2 linked regions of the Saccharomyces cerevisiae S288C genome follow. The gene in region 1 interacts genetically with each later gene. Each region holds a gene or a part of one and is shown on either strand. Other genes may lie near its edges.

Region 1 (11,733 bases):
TATCATATCATGATATGTCGCACTTTTATCACAGAATTTTCTTCCACGCTAAAAAGCAACCAAAGGTTTTTGAAACTAATTCTTAATACGATGAAAGAACATTCATTTTCGCTGTTGAATGGGTTTTTGAGACTACCGCCAACGTTAATAAGGGGTGCTCCGATTTTTACTTGTCATCAACTAGTCTACGCCTGTTTAACTCTTTGTGACTATCTTTATTGGTTCGATTCTTCTGAACGTCAACGCGTTTTGAGTCTTTGTACAAAAGTGTACTGGCATTTGAGCACTATAGGGGAAAAAATGAATGAGGCTACTGATAACGTTGGAAAAATCATAAAATCTATAATTGATACTAGTAAGACTCGTATTAATTTTGGCAGTTTGTCAAAAGAGAATAGTGATAATGATAAAATGTCGACTAATGCTAATAACTACACAGGAGCAGGAAATCTGCACGCCGCGAAACCCGCTACTTCGCCTACTAATGTTGGTACTTTGCACGAGAACTTGTCCAGTAGTCACTTCATGATTCCTGACGTCGACCAATTCAATTCCTTTGAAGACTTTTTTCAGGATTTTTTTGATAGTTTAAAACCAAATTCCCAAAAAATGTTTACCAGCGATAAGAAGACTGAACAAACTACTTAAACTATTTTTATTAAGAGGGAAAAAATTCATACCCAAACTAGATTGAATAACATTTCTTTATATTAATATATTGTAGTTAGAGCCCTTTTATTTTATTTTGCTGCAAACATAATATACACAACCATAATTACATTGAAACTTGACATGATGGCTGGCATCCTCATATGGATATATTTTCAACTATAAAAAAAAGTTTGCCACATACGTACTCCATGCATCTTGTTGCAGATATGTGCCTGAGTGCCAATTTACCTAGGCGGCTGATTTCACGTCTACCAATTCGACATCAAACACCAAATCAGCACTTGGAGGAATGACGCCTGGGACACCTCTTTCTCCGTAGGCCAAAGAACTTGGAATTTGCAGCTTTCTTTTTTCGCCAACGCACATGCCGGCAACACCTTGATCCCAACCTTTAATTACTCTGCCAACGCCAAGTTCAAAAGCGATAGGAGAGCCTCTTGAATAACTTGAGTCAAATACAGTTCCCGATTCTAATAAAGATCCTGTATAATGAACCTTAACTTTATCACCTGGCATTGCCTTAATTAAGCAATCTTCTACCGGTATTCTCTTGATAATACCGATTTCCAAATCTGACAGGGAACCTGCAAGAATGGTGGAAAAAAAAGTGACGAAAAGGTAAATATTAAACATCATCGAGACTCAATTACTGTAAACTAGAATGTGATTGAAAACGAAAGCACTCCTTTTTCTCTTCTTAGGGTTATAGTAATGGGTCTCATATAAACCTGTATTTGAAGATGCGCTGGCAGTAATGCTAAATCTCTTCAAGAGCATAAACGGGTAACTGGTGAGAATAATCGTGATGCCATAAATAACGAATATTAGCTATTTTCTTCCAGAAACGATGCGAGTAATCAGATGTTAAAAATGTGCATTATATATGCTTTATTTATTGATTATAATTCATCATGTACGGTATCTTCAGTAGACACTTCAGAATCCTTGGCCTGGTGCAATTTATCATAAATTGCCTGGCCGTCAATGTGATGTGTACCTGATTCCTTGATAAATTCGAAAACATCTTCCAAATTTCTAATTTTATTGAAGATAATAGGCTTAGAGTTATTTCCGGCAGGATACAAAGCAATGGTTGGATATCCTGTCACAGGAAAACTTAAGATATCATTTGCCCCTGAATCTACTTCGGCGATCAAGATTTTATCGCGAACAGATTCATCAGATGCTAAGACATTTGCAATTTCTTCGTAAATAGGCGCAAACCTTTTACTATGAATACACCATGTCGCGTAATATTTGACAAGGACATCCTTGTCATCATCATGAACAATGTCGTCATGTGTCTTCCCAACTATTTTATAAACATTGGACTTTTGTTCTTTTGGAATCTCTTCTGACTTAACAATTGGCTTGGCAGTACCTTCACGGTAATCTTTTACCAACTGAACGATCATATCTCTGTCTAGTGGTTGTGGTTTTTCTAATTTCGCGTACTCTTCTTCTGGTAGTTGTGGTAAACCATATTTCAGATTATTGATCATATTATGGATAGCAAATAATGGGAACTGTTCTCTCATATTTAGGAATCTAACGTGGTGTGGGAACATTGTAGAGTTTAATGCAATGAAATTTATTTGGCCACGATTTTCCTTACCTAACTGCGTGAAAAGATCAGTGTAATCTTCCAATTCTTCCTCAGAAGTATAAAAGAAGTAAGCCAACGGCAAATTGCTAGAAATGTACTTGGGGAAGAGATCAGGTTCGATGTCGGTAAAGTAAGGTAAAATTACCACTTTTAACCACTGAGTTAGAGCAACGGAATTTCCGACCAAAGAGTCTACATTTCCATCAAACAGAATTGGTTCTGTAGTGTTTGGCAAGTGGATTGATAATGACTTATCTTCTGAATCTAGAAGGGATAAAAAGACGTAATCCTCAGCAAGGTCCAGTGCGACTTCTTGATACGTTTCATTCAAGCCTGTCAAGCCTCTGTTTATTACTACTGGTAAAGTTGCATTTTCCAAGTATGGTTGGATTTCATCTTCGGAATTTAAATAAATGACAGAAGCCTCGTATAGCTGAATCATGTACTGAGTGATTTCATCGGTGATCTTGACACCGCGATAGACTTGACCATCAAAAATACGACCATTTTTAAAGATTTTCAAGGTTGGGTAGGTATTTATAGTTTGTTGCAGGCAAACCATACTGTTAGCCTCACAATCAATTTGAACAACTGGGACGTTATGCTCCTTTAAAATAGAGGCGGCCTCTTCTAAGTGAGGGCGTAAGATCTGAGAATGCAAACACCATGGAGCAAAAAACTCGACGAGGACTAACGGATGAGATTCGATGAATGATTTAAATTTCTTCTCTGTTAGAACGAGTAAATCTGATCCCGGCGTAGCTCTTGCGCTGTTTTCAGCCAACGTGAAAGAAGCAAACAGGCAAAACGAGACTATCGCAGATATAAATCTTGTGGTCACTTGCATGGTATTATATGAGCGGGTGCTTGTTGGGAGATTGCCATATAATTGAAACGTCAAGTCTTGGAAATTGAAACTTTCTGAATGCTAAAATATCTATTGTCTTAACAAAAAAGGACACGCGTGCCTTTGAAAAAAAGTCTCGGTACTTTTCGTACATTGCCAACTATCGTTTACGTGTTTTGAAGGGAAAGCAAGCTTATATATATATATTTAATTTTGCTATGAAACAAAACCAAAAGACTAACCAGGAAAGTTAATCAGAGGATGACTGTTTTTGTGGTGGTGGGGCGAGGATGTCAGATTCTGCTGACTTCGCAGCGGTAGATGACTTATCTCTGCCTTCATTAAAATAGTCATCCATTGCCAATGGCTGGGTACCCTTTTTATTTTTTGATTTCTTCTTTGTTGGCACCGGTGGTGCTGTGAATGCTGATGGCACAAAAGCCGTCTCAGATTCTACTGGAACAGGAACAGGAACAGGGTTGTCATCTTGCCCCTGCTGCTGTGCTTGTTGTGGACAGTGCTTTACTGTTGGAATCCTGTGAAGAAACCCGTATCCAACGTTGCAACCCAACCTGCCGTCGGGACCTATATGAACTGTGATTGGTCTCACACAGTCAGAAACTTTGTTGTAGACATAAAGGACCAGATCGTAGTTTGCTCTTGATCTAACAATATCTTGTAAAAGCGTCTCCCCTCCCGTGGCCAACAGGCCATCTTGGCAGCCGATAATGTAGTCTTCATCTGGGATGAGCCCTGCCGATTGGGCGGGTCCATCTGGGATGTTCACGTTCAGGATATGGTATGTGAAAGTGGAAGCTATCAAAGGCGTCCATTGGACTTTGAACCCGAGTGCTTGGAACTGGTGCGCTTCCCCACTAGATGGCCTCCTCTCGTCATGGTTTAGAGAAACATCGTCCAAATCGTCGCTCTCCTTCGATATAATGCTGATATACTCGTCTCTGAACGTGCCTCCTTTAGCTGACCATATGTTGACCTTCAAAGTTCGGCCACAGTGTTCATTGAAGATGGATGTGATACGACGGTAATCTGGGTACGAAAATCCGTGTTGATTACTGACCACCGGCACCGGATCATCATTGAAACCTACTATATAGTCGAAAAAGGACTGCAGTTGGAACTGCATCTCGTCCACCCAAACAATGCGGAGACCGGAAAGCGTTTCATTGACGTTGGTGTGCTTAACACCTTCAGAAACCGCATCTACGGGTGATTCCAACTGAGCAGACAACAAATTTGGTGGTATAGACTGAAAGAAAGCGTCCAGATTGCTCGAGTCCTGCGAGAGTGCCAGGGTATCTTGCACGCTCTGCTCAAAAGTCCGTACGAGGTTTTTAGCTATTCTAAACATAGTTCTTCTTCCTATACCTTTTTACTTCCCTAGTTTCGCACGCTGTGTCGGTCGCAGTTACAGTAGTAGTCTCAGCACCCCTGTTCTTGGTCCTGATCCCGTTGCGACAAGCCCATTTCTTTTATGATAGCCAAAATGCAACTAAACCTCGTCGTCGTCGGCTTGCGTGTCCGCCGCGAAGACAGAAAAATAACGAAACGAACTTAATAGAAACGACCTAGATTTTATTTGGAAGCCAGCCCGATGCTATCTTCAAAATGGCTGTCACTGGGTGCAAAGGCGGTGGGAGAGCCCATTAAGTAATTTAATCGGGTTGTCTCACCAATGTTAGCCACAACGCAACGCTACGTCGCCACTCTGGCAGCCACCGCAACGAGCAGTAGCAACTACTTTCGGGTGGGCCCTTCAGGGGTAGTTGCCTGCGTCTTTGTTCGAAGAATCAAGTGACAAAAAACGCGGGGCATCCAGAAAGTCTTTTTGTGTGTGTCGTCGAAAGGGAAAGTGAGAGAGTGAGAGTGAATTAGTGTTTGTGTGTGTGGAAGACAGAGGAAGAAGATCGGGTCGTCGAATTCTATTATGCTTGCGATGCAGGGGGGGGAAACATGTATTCGGGATTATATAAAGTCGATTCTGTGTAAGTGTAAAATCTCATCTTGTCTCGTGTTCTTTTGTACGTCTCATACTTATAGGAAGTTTAAATAGAAACAGATATCAGTGTATCAAGGAAGAATTGTACAAGAATCGAATCATAGATACACAGTAATGTCATTTGAAAATTTACATAAAGTCAATGCTGAGGCATTGGAAGATGCAGTGGTTGAGATCTGCTCCTCATTGCAGGTTGATGCAGCAAAGTTGGACGAACTAACAGCGTACTTCATTGAATGTATGGAAAAGGGGTTGAATAACACCTCTGTAGGCGAAGAAAAGACGGTGGACAAGGGTCTACCCATGATCCCTACATATGTAACCAGTTTGCCCAATGGGACGGAACGTGGTGTTTTGCTGGCTGCAGATTTAGGTGGGACTCACTTCAGAGTGTGTTCTGTGACTTTGAATGGTGACGGAACCTTTGATATGCAGCAATTGAAGTCTAAGATTCCGGAAGAATATCTAAATGACAAGGATGTCACCAGCGAGGAGCTGTTTAGCTACCTGGGTCGCCGTACAAGGGCCTTCGTTAGGAAGCATCATCCTGAGTTGTTGAAGTCCACGGGGGAGAACATAAAACCTTTGAAAATGGGATTTACCTTCTCATATCCCGTTGACCAAACCTCTTTGAGTTCCGGTACTTTAATCAGATGGACCAAAAGCTTCAAGATTGAAGACACGGTCGGCAAGGATGTCGTGAGGTTATACCAGGAGCAATTAGACATTCAGGGGCTCTCTATGATTAATGTGGTAGCTTTGACCAACGACACGGTTGGCACTTTCCTATCCCACTGCTACACTTCAGGCTCTCGTCCATCGAGTGCTGGTGAGATTAGCGAGCCTGTCATTGGTTGTATCTTTGGTACTGGTACTAACGGTTGCTATATGGAGGATATTGAAAACATCAAGAAGCTACCAGATGAGCTCAGAACAAGACTGCTGCATGAAGGAAAAACCCAAATGTGCATCAACATCGAATGGGGTTCTTTCGACAATGAATTGAAACATTTGTCTGCTACAAAGTATGACATCGATATTGACCAAAAATTTTCTCCAAATCCAGGTTACCATCTATTTGAAAAAAGAATTTCCGGCATGTACTTGGGTGAGCTGTTAAGGAACATCCTGGTGGACTTGCATGCAAGGGGCTTAATCTTGGGACAGTATCGTAATTACGATCAATTACCTCACCGTTTAAAGACTCCTTTCCAATTGTGCAGTGAAGTTCTTTCCAGGATTGAAATCGATGATTCGACAAACTTGCGTGAAACTGAATTGTCGTTTTTGCAGAGTTTGAGGCTACCGACCACTTTTGAAGAACGTAAAGCAATTCAAAATCTGGTCCGTTCCATTACGAGAAGGTCTGCATATCTAGCAGCCGTTCCGATTGCCGCCATCCTAATCAAGACAAACGCTTTGAACAAAAGATATCACGGTGAGGTAGAAATTGGTTTTGACGGTTATGTCATCGAATACTATCCTGGATTCAGATCCATGCTGAGACATGCTTTGGCATTAAGTCCAATTGGCACTGAGGGTGAACGTAAGATACATTTGCGTCTAGCCAAAGATGGGTCCGGTGTTGGCGCAGCTTTGTGTGCTCTGGTGGCATAAAACATATCTGTTCTTAACAGCTTATTTTTAGTTTGTTTTCGTTTTCCTCTATATAAATATCTTATGTATCTGTTATATAAAAAATTATTTAGTACGAATTGAAATGAAATGTTATGTTATATTTTTAGAGAGAATCTGCTATTACTTTATACATGTTAACTATATACATAATAAAAAAAAAAAAAAAAATATTGTCTAAAATTAATCATTTATTTGTAAGTTTTGTTCAAACTGCCTGCTAATTTCACCTTGGTCATAGCTCTGACTCTTTTTCCCATTTTCATTACTGGGAAAGAAGTTTGGATAGCCCATATAAGAATAATTGTCTAAATCGTTCGGTCCCAATAGTTTCTCAATGTTGTATTTTTCAGTTTCGTCATCATTTTCATCAAAATTACTTTCCATAGCGTATTCAGCCCAATTTTCGCGCCTAATAAAATAGTTTTCCAATGGATTGAAATCATCTGCCATGTTCTTCTGAGCACCTTCTATGCTTCCAAGGGCAATTTCCAAATGGTTTGTTTCTTTATGTTGTAAAACTTCTCTCATAGATGCCAAAATTAAATTTGGGTCTCCACCAAGAGATAAATTAACCATACGGTAAAATTTCCCTATCAAACTCATGGGGATAAATCCGTCATTGGCTTTTTTGAATTTAGATCTTAAAAATTCATCTGTTTTCAAGTTCTCTTCACTAAAATAGAATTCAATTTGGTTTTTGATACTTTCGATAGATTTAAAAATAGGTTCCATTGAGTAATAATATGGTGTTTGCAATTGTTGTTGATAGTTGATGTTATTATAATACTGCTGTTGACGGAAGTATGACAGTTGTTTATAGCTATTTCTTGAATTGTTGTTCAACCAGTGGCTGGCATTGGGAATATATTCAGGTCTAGCCTGATAATTATTTGGGAAGGAGATGGCATTATTAGCCGCCTGACTGTGTCTACTATTGTTGTTGTATCTTGTTTTGCCATTCCTGTTTTGATAATTTCTTGATTGTCTACCGTTGGTTGAATTGTTGTTGTTTGTTATCCTCTTTATATTCCCATTGGCAGTTGCTCCTGAGCTTGAATGTATGTTTACTTTAGCGTTAGCATCTAAAGGTTTGGATTCAAGATTGGAAACGTTACTTATTTCCGATGTACTGTTGGTTTGACCGTTAAAGTCCTTTTTATTGATATCGTTATTATATTTGCCACGCTTTTTCATTTTTTTATTAGTCTTAGAATTTTTAGAGTTCTTTCCTGACTTTGAATTTGTGTCCTTGGAACCTGAGATTATAACAGACGGCGTAATTGGAGTCCATTTGGTATTGCTTGTTAATTTAATTGACCCCGAACCATTTTTACTTGGCTTTGCAGTCTTTGATATATCTCTTAGTTCCTCTACAGGAATTACTGTATTGCTATCTGGCGAAGATGATTTCCATGGCGATGTGGTTGGTATTGGTGCCAACTTTAAGGATGAAGTTTGTTTCTTCTTATCTTCAGCTGCTGAGGATGTATTTTTTGGATTATCATTGAGGTTTTGCGATGACATTTTTGAATTCACTTTATGATTGATTTTCTTTATCTTGGTTATATTTTTGGGCTCTCTCGTTTATTTAACGCCACCCTAAATTGTGTCTTAACAATACGCTTCCTCTCAGTATTTTTTTTTAAATAAAAAAATATGATAGAACTGCTGAACACTACTTTTTAAAACCTTTTAATAAATAGACAAGTGTCAACCAAGGATGTGCCAATTTTCCTTTGTGATTCAGCTGCGCTTGTATGTGCTTCCAGCTTTACTTTTACTAATTTTTTCATAAGCACAAAATAGTAAGATCTTTTTTCTCTTGGCGGTGAAAAATTTTGATTCGATGGATCAATAACATACTGCAAAAAACGGTTTGAGGACATATGAATACTGCATTTACTAGTAATTTGCCTAGTATATAGTTTGACTACACAGATTATAAGCTATTGTATGAGTAGCTCCACAAAGTGCAAGAAAGCATACGAAGCGGTAGTCAAAATGGTTACGCATAGATTCAACTCCAAAGCAGTCCGCAATTACCATCAACCACAAGGTTTAAACAGGAGTCTGGCAACCCGCAATGCAGCTAGAGTTAGGGGTATGGTCCCTTCAAGAAGAGGGGGCGTGGGACTGTATAAGAGTTCAAGTAGCAAGTTGATGAATAAACTAGGAAGACAAAAGACATGGATAAATGAGTTTGAACATTTTAATTCTCTGCACGAAATTGCATATACCCCTAACATTGCGTTAAGTAGTGAAATCCAAAAATATTTAAAGGCATTGGAAACAAACTATCGGTCCATCTATGAGAAAAGTTCAGAATTACTGGATAAGAAGCTGGAAGAAATTGACAAGAAATGGATAGAGAAAAACGGGTGTATACCTGATGCATCTAAAGACGATGTGGAGAAAAATCTAAGAAAGCAATATTTAGCAGATGTACAGGACGTAAAAAACGAACATATACCTGTGATGAATTGTGAACCTGGTGGGTCTCAGTTCAAGTATCTCTGTAAAACTATTGAGTTATTATCATCCAACAAGACAATTTGTTTTGCCATCGATGTAGAGGCATTTGAATTTGATACAGACATTGTTACAGAGATTGGCATCGCCATATATGATCCAAGAGAAAACATTTATTCCTTGATGCCGATTATAAGAAGTTATCATTTAATTGTTGCTGAAGCGTTACCGTTAAGAAACAAGAAATTCGTATGCGACTTTAAAGACTGCTTTTTACTTGGAGAAAGTCTTGTATTACCATTGGAACAATGTGTAGAGTTCATTCAGTCGTTGATTAATTTCTATATGAAATGTGAGACGGACCAAGATACAACCTGGGAAAGAGCGTTTGTGGGTCATGCTATAGCGGGGGATATTAAGTGGCTGAAGAAAATTGGGGTCCATGTACCTGAATTGGATAATGAACTTACCAAACCGGAGGACTCAACGGAGAGCAAAGGTGTTAGAAAACATGTTAAGATGCTTGACACAGAGAAAATTTATAGCATGTGTTATGGCAAGAAGGGTAGCAGTTTAGGTAAACTACTAAGGCTTTTTCACTTGCCACATGCCTTCTTACATAACGCAGGCAATGATGCATATTACACGTTGCTCCTGATGCTGAAGTTAGGAGATTATAACTTTAGAAAGCAAATTGGGGCAGATGATTTAGAAACAATGGGATATAGGATAAGAGAATGGTTTAAGCGTGAGGCGGACGAACCCAAAATTTTGCCAATGTCGTACGTGCTAAGTGTGATGAATGCCAATAATAGCAAACCGAAAGTTGATGATAAGGGAAGAAAGAAGCCGAGGGATCTTGTACCTCAGACGGAATTTAGCGGGTCTCATTGGTTTCAAAATGCACGCGCAGCCTTCAAAAGTACTCTTGTGTGAATCTAGCTAGAAGTTTTGTAGGTATATGTGATTTAAGATATAGATAATAAAAGATATATATATGTAAATATTATGAAGGGGATATTAGCGTAATTTAAACTATTGAAATACCGGCTTCAATATTTCAGCTAACTTGCCATTTTTCTTCAAAGTTTCCAAATCGCTGTTACCACCAATGTGCTTGCCATTGATGTATACGTTAGGTACAGTTTTTTGGCCCGAGATTTCTTCTAAAGCGTCTTGAATCTCTGAGCCATTGCTCATTTCATCTAATTCCAACACAAGGGCCTTGGATTTGGGAACGTTCAATTCTTGGAAGAGGGTAGACAAAGTAGCTTTACAGTAAGGGCAGTATGTCTTTGCTGCAACAAACACTTCCTTTTGGCCAATCAGATCCTTTACGTGAGCAACTGTTTCCTGGGATACCATTTTTGGAGTAGATAAAAATCTTTTAGCAATAATTCTTGTGGCAAACAACGTGATAATGATAATAACAATTAAATTCGAGTCGAAGGAAAAATTGGTCTCCATGAAACAATATATAACAGTAGTTGGAGTGTCCGTTAATCAAGAGGGCACCTTTTCTTGGCGTCCTGGGACTTTTTATATGAAAATTCATGAAGAAAGTGCGGCGGGCCCCTTTGCGAAGGGGGCCGAAATATCGGATCTTAGTAATAGTTCTGCTATTGGATGTGGTATTAGCATAAATCAAGAGGGAGGCGATGGTTCTATTAGGGTAAAAGAGAGCAGCTTGAGGAAGAAACAGGAAAGGATGAGTACAAAATATCCGACAACGATGAGTTGCCGAGAGGCATTTGATCAACTGACGAGTTGCTATTCGATTGGAGGGCAATTTAGAAGCTATTACAGATATGGAGATTTTACATCATGTGACAAGCAGGTGTCCAAATTCAAGTTTTGTATTATCCACGGCAATGACCCTGTGAAAGTGCAGGAATGGTATAAAGATCAGGTTTCCAACAATAAGGCATTGGAAAATACCAGTGGGGTTATATGGCAGGAGAGGGAGACCACTGCAAATAAGTGAGATTTTTAGCTTTTTTTTTTTAGCATGTGTACTATATAGTATATGGATTTCTTATTTACAAGCGCAATAAAAAGACGAACACTAATCCTTGTTGTTCCGCTTCACGTCCTTACTTGATTCTATTTCATTGTCTTGGTGAAGTTTCTGTGTTTCCTTCATCAATTCATACAGTTGAACTGTTTGCTCAGGGGATAGTTTCTCCAGGGTTTCCGAAGATAAAGTGGCATCTTTCCATTTACCGTTGGAAATCATGTGGAGATAATCTTGCCAGGAAGCTAAAAAGCCGACTATATGCAACGGGTTATCGATATCTTTGTGCAACTTGAACTCGTTTCGCACGTATTGGTCACCCATCTCCCTTTGGGGACCAGGTAGCAGCTTATGCTGCCTTAGTATCCTTCTGTAGAGAACCAAAGGTGGAAGTAAAAGCTGGCTGTTATGGGTTGCAAATCTAACCGAACGATATATGAGCTTGTTGTTCATGGTGAATGAAGACGGGA
Region 2 (5,087 bases), 1.3 Mb from region 1:
TGAACCTTTTTAGCAATTAAGCTCTTGAAGATATCAAAAGTGTTACCGTCCGGCTGTAAATTATAAACGTTTCCTGTAAATTGAGTGGAACTACCGCTTACCAATTCTTTTGCAATCAGTAAACCGTAGTCTTCCGTGATACCAGTAATCATGGCTTGCGTATTTCCGTGATCTGGTAATGTTACTATTTGGTTACTATGTAACCACAACTCATAATAACTTGGCAATATTTCCGCAGCTCCGTAGTTAATAAACTGTTTTAATATGACCTCAAGGTTATTCATATAGAGTGCCTGCAGCTTTTCTGCCTTTATTGCTGGCAATAAATCAAGGTGTAATTGTTGGCGTTCTTCATTCAGGATATCAATCCAAGTTTGTAATGAAGTTGTAGGACCATCACTAGTCAAATTTATACCACAGCCAAGTAGCAAACAATATTTATTGTTTATGAAGTGGGTATTAACTAATAAACCAGAGATCTTAAGATAAGCGGGCTCGATATCACCTAAGGGCAACTTTGTATGCTCAAAACCGGTGTTAACCAATTTCAAGTTTTTACGCTTATAGTAGGTGGGGCTCAAAGCATAAAGGTCATTGGGCCATTTGATCCTAACAGGAATATCTGAAAATCCAGGAGCGTACGAAAGTATCGCCTTACAGTAAGCAAGCATAGAAAGATACTGGACAAAAACAACTGATATATTTCGATTAGTCACAGGCGATTGAAGCGGCATTGTTACGACGGCCGTTGATGCGCAAACACCTTTAGGATTAATCCAAGTGTTACCACCTCTCCCACGCCCAGAAACCTGAATAGTACCCACGTGAAGTAAAGTGCTTTCAGGGATCGAACTTAATAAGGATTTATTATTATTCAATATGGTACTCGTTGATGTAACAACTTCACCATATAGAAGTAAAGAACCTATGGTGTTTTGAACATTCAGATACTTGAAGTATTCTTTCATGTCAAAATTGGGCGTATATTGAAATGGTGGAATATCTTCATCTACGCCAGGAAATATTACGGTCTTAGGAACCTCATCTGGCTCTTTATGAAGCAAGGACGAACTTGCTGCATCGTAAGAGGCTCTATAGCCTCTATAAAATTGGAAAGAGTCAGTTTCGGCGTTTAATTCTGAGCAGAGTTCAACATTATTTGCATGCATTCCATGATGAGCTAAGTTGTTTTCCATTTCTTGCAAGTAATTCCGCTTATTAGGTGCACTAGCCATAAACAGTGGTGTCAAATTTGGAGCTCTTACATAATTGAAGTCATTATTACAATTCAACCCAGTTTTGGTAAGAACCGTTCTCATAAATTTCAACCTCATGATTTCCTGTGCTTTCAGGTTTTCCACAACGGTTTCAAGAAAATGCTTATCTGTGGATTTCCTCATAAAACGGACGTTGAATTCAGGGTGTGGTCCAGTGAGTAAAACCTTTCCTCTTCCGACCGTACATAGCACTACAGCAGCTGGGTTTTCACTTTGACCTTTTCCTGAGTCAGAAGAAGGCACATCCGGGTGTTCTGCGTACGTGGCCAAGATCTCGACATTATCAAATTTATCTGCATCAACAAAAACGGCTCCTCCATTGAAATAAGTTGAGAACTGTGAGCCATCTGGAAGATTCAATTTAACTGCACGTGCACCGGCCTCGCTGTTATACTGAAATCCATTGTACGCAGGTCCTCTGCTTGTTCCCGGAAAGAATCGCAAATCCCTGCTTCCTGATACTTCCATTGTAGGGTCACCTTGAGCAAATTCTACACGGCTGGTGCCAAAGTAACCTCCTGCACAAAATCCGATAAAGACACCACCTTGTTTGCTAACAAAATGTTTCAATCGAGAAATAATGGGTTGACAAGCTTGAACGTAAGGAAGATCGGCACCACCAGGAAAAACTACAGCGGAGGTCTTTGACATCCATGGTTCTGTCTGTAATACCTTAACATTGACAGTACTGACGGCGTAATAGGGTTCCAAAAAGTCACGTAAACTTTCAACAGCATGCTTAACTGATCCTGGCGTAGTCCCTGGGCCATTATAGACTAATACATTCATATTAGTTGAAATTGGATAATATTGATAAGATCGTTCTAATATCTTCTTTATTGGAACTCTGAACCTGTAACAACCAGTAAAAACCTTGCACTTTTGTATACCAAACAACTTTTGAGAACAATATATTACAGCAAAAGAAAAACTGACGAAGGGAGAAGGAAAGTAAAATATACTTATATGTGCGTTTACCCAACGTTTGGCAAACAATTACAGGAAGAAAAAGCCAAGTCCGTAGCTCTGGGATCTCTTACATGAAACCATATTAAATGTCAACCAACACTTCACAGTCATGTCTTCGAATCATTGTGCGGCGACTATTTCCGAAACTGGAGTGTGAAAAAGCTCGATTCATGAAGCCATCCTCTTAATCGGGAGTATACAATATTTACAATTGAAAAAATATAGAAAGGAGGCAATTGAGAAACAAGCAGGCCTGGTAGCATAGTTTGGTCCCTAATAATTTAGTCAATGATTCAAATGGTGCCCATTTATTCATGCTCCGCATTACTTCGGAGAACTATACCGAAAAGGCCATTCTATCATGTGTTATCAGGGTTAACTGTACGCTTTAAGGTAAACCCGCAATTAAATTACAATCTTTTCAGAGATCTCACTAGGAGGGAATATGCTACCAATCCGAGTAAAACTCCTCATATAAAGAGCAAGTTGCTCAATATTCCCAACATTTTGACTTTATCACGAATAGGATGTACACCCTTTATCGGACTCTTCATTATAACGAATAATTTGACCCCAGCATTAGGTTTGTTTGCATTTTCCAGCATCACTGATTTTATGGATGGGTATATAGCAAGAAAATACGGCCTGAAAACCATTGCAGGAACCATATTAGATCCACTTGCAGATAAACTACTCATGATCACAACAACTTTGGCATTATCTGTACCATCCGGCCCTCAGATTATACCGGTATCTATTGCGGCGATAATTCTGGGTAGAGATGTGCTACTAGCCATAAGTGCTTTGTTTATACGATATAGCACTTTAAAGTTGAAATATCCTGGTCGTGTGGCATGGAATTCCTATTGGGATATTGTTCGCTATCCCAGCGCTGAGGTCAGACCTTCCCAACTATCAAAATGGAACACGTTTTTCCAAATGGTATATCTTGGATCTGGAGTATTATTACTTTTATATGAGAAAGAAGAGGGCTGTGAAAAAACCGAGGAGGATTTCGAAGATAGAAAACAGGACTTTCAAAAGGCCTTTAGCTATTTAGGGTATGTAACCGCCACGACCACAATAATGAGCGGAGTATCCTACGCATTAAAGAGAAACGCTTTTAAACTTTTAAAATAGTATAATTGCGATCCTTTTTGAAAAGGGTCCTGACTTTTCATTTTGAATGTTTTTTAGTTTTTATGTAGTGGAAAATACACTAAATCAACATATATATGTATATATGCATAAACATATGGATACTGGGAAACCCATGTTAACGGCTGAATGCAATATCATCAATACGTAAGATGGATTTAACACATTCAGACGCTAAGGTAATTGCACTTGTACTAACAAGTACGGGTTGTAAGATGTGTTCTTCATAGGTGTTCGTAGTACCAGATCGTCTAACAGAGATACCGTCATTCAATTCACCATTTTCATGCTTAGAGCGCAATTCTGTGACAACTTTGATACTATTCAAACCTGCGTTTTCAGCCAAAGTCGTTGGAATAACTTCCAAAGCAGAGGCAAATTCTTGCCAAATAAAAGCCTGTACACCTTCCATAGACCTTGCTTCCTTACTCAACCTACGGGATATTTCAATTTCTGGAGCACCACCACCAGCGATTAAACCTCTCTCTTTCACTAGACAACGAATAACACATAGTGCATCATGGAGGGAACGCTCTGTTTCATCAATGATCATGTTGTTTGCACCACGAATAACAACAGAGACGGTTGGTCTTGCATTATTGTTTCTTATACCAGTTACTCTAACTATCTTGGAACCATCGCTATCGATCTCCTCAACTAAATCAGCGGAACCCAATCTATCTTCGGTGAACAATTCTATATCAGCAATTGGCTTACAACCCAAGCCCTTCGACAGAAACTCGATTTCTTCTCTCTCGATATCCTTTACCACCATTATGTTCAATTTTGACAAGAAATGAAGAGCCAAATCATTTACCGCATCTCTCAAGATGGATTTCTGAATCAACAGCACGTTACACTTGGCCTTTTTAATTTTTTTACAGATATTTAGCAAATACGCTCTTTCTTCTTTAAGGATCTTATCCATTTGTCTATAGTCATTAACGATGATATTATTTTCTGTGTCGGGCTTTGGAGGAGATATTTGGAATTGAATTAACCCAATCTTTGCTTTTTCCTTTCTTGTCGGACCACCAGCAGATTTGATTGCCGTTTGTGTCAAGACCACACCATCTATCATTTCTGTGTCATCAATGGTACCACCAACTTTTTTGACCAGTCTGATATCGTTCAGGTCAACATTCTTAGAGTTTTCATCAGATATCTTCAATACGGAGTCCACTGCCAAGGGCGCCAAAAACGAAGAGTATTGAGACACAATCTTGGAACTCAAAGAAGTGGATGCAGCACGAACCAGCTGTTCTCTATCGCTCAACGAAACCTTATGGCACATTTCTAAAAGAATATCGACAGATCTCTTCGCAGCACTTTGAAAGGAGTCCGCAATGATGGTTGGATGGATGCCCTTGTTTAACAGCCTCTCAGCAGCACCCAATAGAGCTCCGGTCAAGATCACCACAGAAGTGGTACCATCACCGGCTTCCGAGTCCTGCGCGGCAGAAACCTCTACTAGCATTCTGGCCACCGGATGCAGAATGGCCATCTGTTTTAGAATGGTGTGGCCATCATTAGAGATGATGATTTCTCCACGAGATGTCTTAATCATCTTGTCCATACCCTTGGGACCCAATGAAGTACGGATGGCATCTGCAACAGAACGTGCAGCGATGATGTTGGCTTTGCGAACCTCTTGAGGTTTTTCCTTGTTCTTAAACGTGGCGT

The links. A genetic interaction does not mean that the proteins touch.
Region 2: mutations in EMI1 (region 1) and CRD1 together harm fitness more than expected from each alone (negative genetic interaction), as found in Saccharomyces cerevisiae (3 studies listed by BioGRID).

Annotation. Positions count from the first base shown.
Region 1 is NC_001136.10:1,470,000-1,481,732, reverse strand, and holds EMI1 (Emi1p), read left to right. Parts: upstream 1-10,669; coding exon 10,670-11,233; downstream 11,234-11,733. Other genes in the region: URC2 (Urc2p), read left to right, coding at 1-648; peptidylprolyl isomerase family protein FPR2, read right to left, coding at 901-1,308; protein disulfide isomerase EUG1, read right to left, coding at 1,572-3,125; GRH1 (Grh1p), read right to left, coding at 3,376-4,494; EMI2 (putative glucokinase), read left to right, coding at 5,257-6,759; SLF1 (Slf1p), read right to left, coding at 6,961-8,304; YDR514C (uncharacterized protein), read left to right, coding at 8,734-10,185; dithiol glutaredoxin GRX2, read right to left, coding at 10,285-10,716; SDH7 (Sdh7p), read right to left, coding at 11,315-11,716. UniProt on the Saccharomyces cerevisiae protein: Involved in sporulation. Required for the full activation of the early meiotic inducer IME1.
Region 2 is NC_001136.10:200,018-205,104, reverse strand, and holds CRD1 (cardiolipin synthase), read left to right. Parts: upstream 1-2,534; coding exon 2,535-3,386; downstream 3,387-5,087. Other genes in the region: biotin--[acetyl-CoA-carboxylase] ligase BPL1, read right to left, coding at 1-2,066; chaperonin-containing T-complex subunit CCT4, read right to left, coding at 3,523-5,087. UniProt on the Saccharomyces cerevisiae protein: Catalyzes the synthesis of cardiolipin (CL) (diphosphatidylglycerol) by specifically transferring a phosphatidyl group from CDP-diacylglycerol to phosphatidylglycerol (PG).